Regions from separate parts of the Mus musculus genome. Here region 2 is reported to be linked to region 1. The links are microRNA targets in miRTarBase. Many come from high-throughput screens and were not tested one by one. Region 1 holds a microRNA gene; the other region holds the end of a gene's coding sequence.

Evidence for each region. Region 1 holds the annotated microRNA mmu-miR-3101-5p (GGUACCAUUGACUAAAGCUAG, at 2,810-2,830, shown strand). A microRNA usually pairs through its seed, bases 2 to 8, with sites in the 3' UTR of a target mRNA and lowers its output. Matches are read on the target gene's strand: a 7mer-m8 pairs with bases 2 to 8, a 7mer-A1 pairs with bases 2 to 7 and ends in A, and an 8mer does both.
Region 2: miRTarBase lists Frmpd4 as a target of mmu-miR-3101-5p. Seed matches in the 3' UTR shown: 7mer-A1 at 1,098-1,104.

Annotation. Positions count from the first base shown.
Region 1 is chr7:27,174,492-27,178,887 of GRCm38, reverse strand. It overlaps Mir3101 (microRNA 3101), which reads left to right and starts at 2,795; the gene lies at 2,795-2,882. It overlaps Rab4b (RAB4B, member RAS oncogene family), which reads left to right and starts at 5. Exons shown (of 8, transcript NM_029391.2): 1 at 5-161; 2 at 2,650-2,730; 3 at 2,995-3,109; 4 at 4,110-4,172; 5 at 4,312-4,396. The coding sequence starts at 146.
Region 2 is chrX:167,470,249-167,474,644 of GRCm38, forward strand. It overlaps Frmpd4 (FERM and PDZ domain containing 4), which reads right to left. Exons shown (of 17, transcript NM_001368936.1): 17 at 1,059-4,396. The coding sequence ends at 3,725. Among named protein-coding and RNA genes, the nearest start is that of Prps2, 90 kb to the left of the region's middle.

The DNA.
Region 1 (4,396 bases):
GGGGGGGCGGTGAAGGCGGAAGTGGCGGCGCCGGGTCCAGAAGTGGAAAGGAGCTGAGGCTGCAGCCCGAGTGGAGCGGCTGCCAGCCGAGGAACAGGCGCGGCTGCGGCGCCATATTGCGGCCCTCAGCGGTCGCCACTGAGCCATGGCCGAGACCTACGGTGAGGCTGATGGGCCGAAGCAGGGGGGGCTGGGCCCGTAGTGGATGTGGATGTGGAAGTGGGGCGGGGCTTTCTGGTCAGGTGGGCGGGGTCTGCCCGGATACGGGGCAGGGCTAAGTGGGTCTGGGGCTGAGCTAATCGATTTGGGTGGAGCTTGAAGAGGCCGCTGTACGGGTTAAAAAGATCTAGGGCGGGATTTAAGGGACCTAGTCTTGGTAGATTAGGGTAGGGGGTAGGCCTTGAAGAGGGAAGCAAGCCTTCCTGGGCGGAGCATGAGTGGATAGGGCGGGGCTGACGGTGACCAGCAAGGGTCAGGTTTTATGGACTACAGAGAGAGCCTCACAGATGCTGTGCACCCTGCACACTCTGTGGGCTGATCTGGTTTGAGAGGGCTGGAGTGATGTTCTTGAGTTATAGATTTGAAACTTAGCGTCAAGAAATGCGGCATAAGTTTAAGGATAGAGGCCAGGGGTTCTGGACAGAGGATGGGGAGACAAGGTTCAGAGTTAGGCAATCAGTATGGATGTACAGTGTCAGGTGGGTAGAGGTAGGTTGGAAGGCAGTAGAAATCTCTGACGACAATCAGAGACAGCTCCATTCATTGAACACTCATAGAAAAGCCACAGAATCTGGTGCACACTTACCAGAGGAGGTAACCAGTTTAGGACATAGGCCCAACGTCAGAGGCCTTGACAGAGTGAATGAGTGAGAGGGGGTAGGAGGTGAAGTGAAGAGGAATGGAGGTCAGATTTAATTCTTGTTGAAATGGCTTTTGAAATGCATCAGGTAAGGTCTTGCATTGTGGAGACCTTTAGTTTGGGTTTGTAGCTTAGCTGTGCCTAGCTGTGTAGTCTTGCTTTCGTCAGTTAACCTCTCTGGCCTCATTTTCCTAGTCTGGAAAGTAGAAGTCCTTAGTATACTTCCTTCTTTCCTTTTTAAATATTTATTTAATGTATATGAGTACATTGTAGCCGTATTCAGAGCCACCAGAAGAGGGCATTGGATCCCATTATAGATGGTTGTAAGCCACCATGAGGTTGCTGGGAATTGAATTCAGGACCTCTGGAAGAGCAGTCATTGCTCTCAACTGCTGAGCCATCTCTTGAGCTGTATAATTTTATCTTTAGAGCTTTATTTATGATTAAATGAGTCTTTAGGACTGTGATGGGCATGTATATGGTAAACACTATATAAAAATAATTTTGTGTGCTATAACCCTCTCATTTGGGAAACCGAGGCAGGAAGACTGCTTCAAGTTAGAGGTCAGCCTGGACTACAGAGTAATACTCTTTTTCTTTTCTTTCTTTCTTTCTTTCTTTTTTTTTTTAAGACAGGGTTTCTCTGTGCAGTCCTGGCTGTCTTGGAATTCACTCTGTAGACCAGGCTGACCTCGAACTCAGAAATCCACCTGCCTCTGCCTCCCAAGTGCTGGGATTAAAGGCGTGCGCCACCACTGCCTGGCCAAAGTAATACTCTTAAAATAAGAAAAAGAGAAAGAAAGAAAAGTGCAGTGTGCTGGCACTTCCAGCAGTGGGTAGGCTGGGGCAGCAGGATTGCAGTTCAAGACCAGATAGTGAGTCCCTGAGTAGGAAAAAGACAGACAGACAGACAGACAGCAGTGGGTAGGCTGGGGCAGCAGGATTGCAGTTCAAGACCAGATAGTGAGTCCCTGAGTAGGAAAAAGACAGACAGACAGACAGACAGACAGGAAGGAAGGAAGAAAGTAGAGGATGGCAGCACAGTCTTTTAGAGGCTGAGGTAGGAGGAGTGCTTGGAGTTTGAGGACAGCGAGGTTAGTCTGGAATACATAGTGAAGCTTTGTTTCGAATATCAGTAATAATAATGAAAAAAGAAAAAAGAGTCCTCTTGAGCCCAGTAGTGGTGCACACCTTTAATCCCAGCGCCCAGGAGGGCAGAAGAGGCAGGGGAATCTTTGAGTTTCAGGCCAGCCTAGTCTACAAAGTGAGTTCCAGGACAGCCAGGGCTATACAGAGAAACCCTGTCTCAAAAAAAAAAAAAAAAAAAAAAAAAAAATCATCTTGGGCTAGGTTGGCTAGCATGCAGGATTTCCCAAGTTCTATCAACAGCCCTGCAGACTTCTGGATTTTTTTCTTTTTTTAAGTTTTCCTGTTTTCTTTTCTTTCTTTCTTTTCTTTTTTTAAATGCATGCTGTATTTATACTTTTGTGTAAAAGTATACTTTTTTATTATTATACATAAGTACACTCTAGCTGTCTTCAGACACACCAGAAGAGGGCATCAGATCTCATTACAGATGGTTGTGAGCCACCATGTGGTTGCTGGGATTTGAACTCAGGACCTCTGGAAGAACAGTTAGTGCTCTTACTTGCTGAGCCATCTCACCAGCCCAAAAGTATACTTTTTTGTATTTATACTTTTGTGTATACTTTTCCTTCTGACTTTCTGTTTCTTCTCTTATTCCCTTTGTCTTTCTCTCCCTCTGGATATCTTCGGCACCATCTGCTCAGACTTCCTCTTCAAATTCCTGGTGATTGGCAGTGCTGGAACTGGCAAATCATGTCTTCTCCACCAGTTTATTGAGAATAAGTGTGAGTTTCTGGCAGGACCCTGGAACTGCGGATGTGGTCATGGTGTGGGTCAGTGGGGCAGCAGGTGGGGTAGGTAGCAGGTACCATTGACTAAAGCTAGTACTATAGGCTTGCCTCTAGCTTTGGTGGATGGTCTTTGCTAAGTTCTCTGCCAACCCAGCAGTGAGAATTGGGGTACAGAAAAGGAGGAAGAGGTCTGCAGGATGGGGGGGATTCCAGGAGCCCCTGCACTGCCCCCCCACCCCGTTTCCCTCCTACTCTCAGTCAAACAGGACTCCAACCACACTATCGGCGTGGAGTTTGGATCCAGGGTGGTCAACGTTGGGGGGAAGACTGTGAAACTACAGATTTGGGACACTGCTGGCCAGGAGCGGTTTCGGTAGGTAGCCTGGGTTCCCAAGGAGGGGAGAGGGAGGAAGGGGAAGAAAGGTGTGTAGTAAGAAGGTAATGATGAAGTAAGAGCAAAGAGATGCTGAGCAGGGCAGGCAGATGGGGGGTGGGGCAGGGGAGGGGGTGGGCATATTCAGCTCCTGGAGAATCTAGTCTCAGCATATCAGCAGCTTTTAATTAAGTTATGTGTAGATTGAGATTATGTGAGGTATGGAGAACCCAGAGACAGAGAGAGGGTGAAGGAGAAGACAGGCATGTGACAAGGCCTACATTCACAGTAACTGTACGCATCCCTCAAGATTGGTGACAAAGGGAGTTGGCCTGCCTCAGACATCAGGGAGGGACAAGTAGAGGTTGTATAGCACTTGGTCAGGACAGGCAGATGGGAGATAATCAGAAAATGCTCCCTGAGTGAATGAATGAAAGAGGGAAGGCCAAAGTGAGCACTGCCATCCCGAGGACCTAAGTTTGAGCTCCTGAACCCATGTGGTGAAAGGAGAGAAGCAATTGCTGTAAGAGTCCTCTGACCTTCACAATGCGCGATGGAACACGGACACCCACCTACATAAAAGAAACAACGTGCCAGCTTGCCTAGGATATGTTGGATGGGAGTCAGCCTGGGTGAGATAGCATGACCTTGAATTAAACTAAAATGAAGGGTCAGGGTGTAGCTCTGTGTAGAGCACTTACCTAACATGTGCCAGGCCCTTGGCTCCAATCCCAAGAACCTACGGGTATGGTGGCGGAGGCAGGGAACCTGAGGCCAGCTTGGACTATAGAGTGAGACTCTCAAAAAGCCAACCTGAATAATACTAATTGAGAAAGACTCTGAGGCCGAGAAACTGTATCTCAAGAAGATGGAGGTCAGGCTCTAGGGAATGGGCCAACAGTAAAGGGGGCCTCCGAACCAGTAGCCTCTCTCCACAGAGGGGGGCAGTCCTGGGGCAGATCCCAGCCTTGGGGGTGACTGGGTCCCCCTGGCCTCACAGGTCGGTGACGCGGAGTTATTACCGAGGGGCAGCTGGAGCCCTGCTGGTGTATGACATCACCAGGTGGGTGCAGGGCCTGGGTGGCGTGGGAGAGGCCGGGCCTGGGTGGCGTGGGAGAGGCCGGGCCTGGGTGGCGTGGGAGAGGCCGGGCCTGGGTGGCCCCACTCCTGTGCTGCCTCCCTCTTTTGTCCACTCTTCACAGCCGGGAGACATACAACTCACTCGCTGCTTGGCTAACTGATGCCCGGACACTGGCCAGCCCCAACATCGTGGTCATCCTCTGTGGC
Region 2 (4,396 bases), not on the chromosome of region 1:
GCTCAGTGAGTGGTAAATAAAGAATAAATTGCCCCATTGTCAAATTAAAAAAATGCAGGCAGAAGAGATTAAAGTAACATTCTGAGTGGCTCAGAAATAGCACTAAGGTCATTGATAATTGGCATTGGAAGTATATGTAAAAGGAATACAAGCAAATGGAGAGTGTCTATCAGGAAAAGGTGGTCTTCTTAGCAAAACTAATCAAACTCTTGTGGTGGTATTGTAGCTGATGGTTTCAAAACTCATTTTCAGCCTCTATTTTCTAGAAAACAATTACTTATGTGATTAGGATCATTCCTGTTGAGCCCCAAATTGGTGGATTCCATGTTAAATTTGACATTGAAGCAACTGTATCAAATAGTGGCTCTTACTAATGCTATGACTGTTGTTCATGTGACAACTCTCCCTCTCATGCCTACAATGTTCCTTTTGACAAATCCACTTACATGACTTATGAACAAATTAAGATTCATGTGCTCACACCAACTGAGTTCAAAGTTAAACTCAGAAGAATGAAATGAATGAAAATAGCGATAAATAAAGAGAAACGGATGGGGGAAAGATGGCAGTGATTATGGACAAAGTCTATGGAGGCTCCACTTGTAAAGGACTTTCATTTTCATTACCATTTATTTCTGTAATGTTTGTTTAATGATATGGAAGAATTGCTCATTTTTATATGTGAAGTGGCATTGTGGTTATTTTTTAAAGTTCTTATTCCTAATGAGATACTCATAGATTAAGGGACAGGGTACCAGGGAGTTTCTAAATCTTACAGGTTGGGAGGAGGTGTGTAGAAATGGAGCAAGTAATACTGATTAGGAGTTGATATCCAAGGAGTCACCAGTTGACACCTTTTACAACTGCATGAATTTTTGTACACATTTGTACCTTTTATAATGACAGCTACATGAGAGTGGGGAGAGAGACACTTAGGAAAATAGGAGTTTACATACTCCAAGTGTAAACAAATTTCAGTGCCAGTTCCATGTTCTTCAAAATTTAGTGAATGCAACGCTACCTGTGACGGTATTTGCATACATGCACCAGGCTTATGCTTGTTTATTTGTTTATTTATTTATTTAAAATTATGTACATGTACCACTGTACTATTATGCCATTATAAAACATACACAAACATAAAAAAACTAGATAAAAATAAACACAAGTATCATTCTAGTATGTTCTTCCTATACTCTAATGGACATGAACTCCAGTTAGGAGCCCCATGCTTAATGAAGGTGAGGGGGCCTTTTGAGATTTTTGAATAGTAAAGACTTGCTTTAGGAGAACAGAAACTTACTGGAGTAGTCACAGGAAATTAGAGATTGGCTAGAAAGACCCAGAGCTATTTCCCTGAGGCTTCTCAAAGAACCACAATGGAGTAGGAAGTTGTTCTAGCTAGATTTGCAATTTGAAAACAGACCATCATTTCCCTGTATGCTTCTTTTCAGAGTATGCACTACACACAAATGTGTTCTGCACACAATCAGGATACAGTATGCATCGAAAACAAACATCCTCCACACAGTATCTTGGGCAATATGTTTAACACAACAATTATGATAATTATAATATCTAACATTGAATACTTATTCTCCATCAGATATTGTGGTAAGAACTTTACAATACACAATTTTACTTAAAACTTGTGAAAACCCTATGGAAATAGATCTCATGATTGAAGTCCATTTCACAATAAGGAAATCAAGACTGAAAAAGAAAAGATAGCTTTCCCAAGATGAAAGGGCTAGGGAATGGCAGGACCAAAATTTAAATCAAGATGTTTCTGATCCCAAGCCCCACATTTCATAACTAGTAAACCATAATGCCTCCAGAAGGAACTAATGATAGTGTCCAAACCAAGAGATCATAGACATGATTAAATGAGATAATACATGTGATAATAATGTTTAGCACATTGTCTGACACAGAGCACACATCCTATTATTGTTTGTATTATAGTACACAGAATATTTGCTAAGATTTTCCACAGTAAACACCACTAATGTCTCTCAACAGCAAAACACCAAATATTTAGAATTGTAATGAAATAATGTTTTATTATTTAATCAAACATTATTTATAACAACGTATATCTGAACTCCTTTCATTGGTTACAATCTGTAAATCTGTGGTGTTGCATTTGCTGAGTCTCTGTGGAATGAATGGCTGACCAGAGAGAAATAGCAACTGTAGACCTTGCTAGGTCTCCTGCATGGCAGGCTACAAAATGGGAAATATTGATTCTTGCTATACTACTCTTATTCTAAGCCATTTACAGAAATAGGAATTGGGGAGCTTGACTACAGAGTGATCCAGAAACTACATATGTACATATCAATTTAACTTATGATTGAAGAGTTTGCCTTCTTTTGTTTTGACCCAAAGATATAATTTGAGTGATGACAGTTCAGAACACACCTTTGTATTCCCTTAGTTTCACTTAAAATAGTCAAATTTGCCATGTTTCTGTCAGATTTTGTATTTCTATCTGCCAAATGAAGTACTCATTAGGTAAATACTACCTTTTGAATCATGGTTTCAATTATGAGAGTAGTCATCTCTACTTGATTTTCTGGAACACTCTAGATTTGAAATTTTGTCCCAGTAGTAGGCTGTCTTTCCACGTTTTGTTGCTAGCCATGCTCCTGTCAGAGAGGGGCAACAGGAAGCCCTTCATGGAGCTGAGGACTAAGAGTTGAAGGCTGAGCTGTGCTTCCCAGGTGCTGGGGTGCGCTCTGATTTACATTGCTGGGTCTGCACTTTTTGTGCTCATTAAATCTGCTTTTGTGTAATTCTACAAACACTTTACTAGGTGTTCTTGAAAGGAAATAGTAAGCTTCATGGTTGAGTTGGAAGGAAATAATGCCTTCGGTTTATGTATTTTGACATTGAGTCAAAGCAGATCTCTCTTTTCATCAAACAATTTAATTTTGGCATTACTAATTCCATTTATTTTATGTAATTAGACAACCTATACCTTTAGTTATTGCCTAGGATCCTGCCCATAATTTCCCCTGTTCTTTTATTTGGGGGAACTTTTTAAGTCTAGAAATACTATAAAAAGCATTTATGCTGACACAATGGAATCTGCCCACCCCTGCCAATCTGTAGCCCAAATAGCATAAACCAAAATTGAATATGTGGGGATTCTTGGAAGAAAGCATCCAATAACAAAACACTATGAGCAAAAAGTTAATTTATTATATATTTTCTAGTAATTCATATTAGCTTCTTGAATTTTAAATATATTTTTGCTACTTCCAATGTTTAAAAATTATGATTTTAAAACACGGGAACTATTTTATATACATTTTGATTTCTTTTCTATTCTGTTTCTTTTGGCTTTTCTTCTAAATATGAATGATAGGGTCTCCAAGTATCCATTTGGAAGGAAAGGGGATAGGATTCATTGTTTTCCTCTAACAATGTAGAATTTAAAATTTCATATCATATGCTTAGAGTTTTGACTACATGAAAAATAGTCAAATGTCATCATTTTCTCATATATTCCTTCTACATGTATATTTGTATAATATAAACAGAATATATCTGATTGAGACTTTTCAACATTTCATCAATGTAACTTCTATCTCCTATTTTATATAAAAGAACAAAATATACAGAGAGAAGAAAGGAGACATCTGTTCATTGTACACAGAAAGTAAAGAAAAGTTCATGTATGGCTTTGCAAAGATAGATTATGATGTGACTTCCATATTTATTTATTTAAAAGCATCTTGAGAGAACGTGTTAGTGTGCTTACAAGAGCGGCCATGGTGGTTGAATGTCGCATCGATAGTCCAATATTAGGATCCCCAGTGGTCTTGCCAGTGGCTGCCTCAGCAGCTTTCAGGAGACAAATATAGTTTATGACCACTTCATCAATCTTTGCTACAATTTCTTGCCGCTGTGTTTCAGTGTTCACGACTTTCACTAACCGCATGCAAGCTTCTGTTAGGCAACAGAGCACTTGAAAACTGGAACTCATAGCTAGGAGCATCTCTTCTGGGCTTTTCTCGGCCATTGCCATTTTCCTACAGGCACTTCCCAACTGTCTGGACTCAATGGATAACAGTTGCTTGTACTGAGAAAGTGTAAGGTCATATGTTTCAGGGCGTGACTCCTCCTTCCTTGCCTTGGTTGCCCTCACAAGGCAGAGCAGCTCATTGGCATCATTTTGGGCTTCGAGAAACCCATCGGGCATTCCATATGTGTTTGCCTTTAGGGCATTTATTCTTGCAATCCGGGCATCAAAAGCCAGACTGCTGAAGTCCAAGTCATCTGGGCCATCTGGGTCTTCTGTCCAGACCTTCAGAGCTGTCCCTCTGGACAGTTCTTCCCCTTGCTTCTGCAGTCCAACAACCAGGGATGAGTTACCTGGTTCCGACAT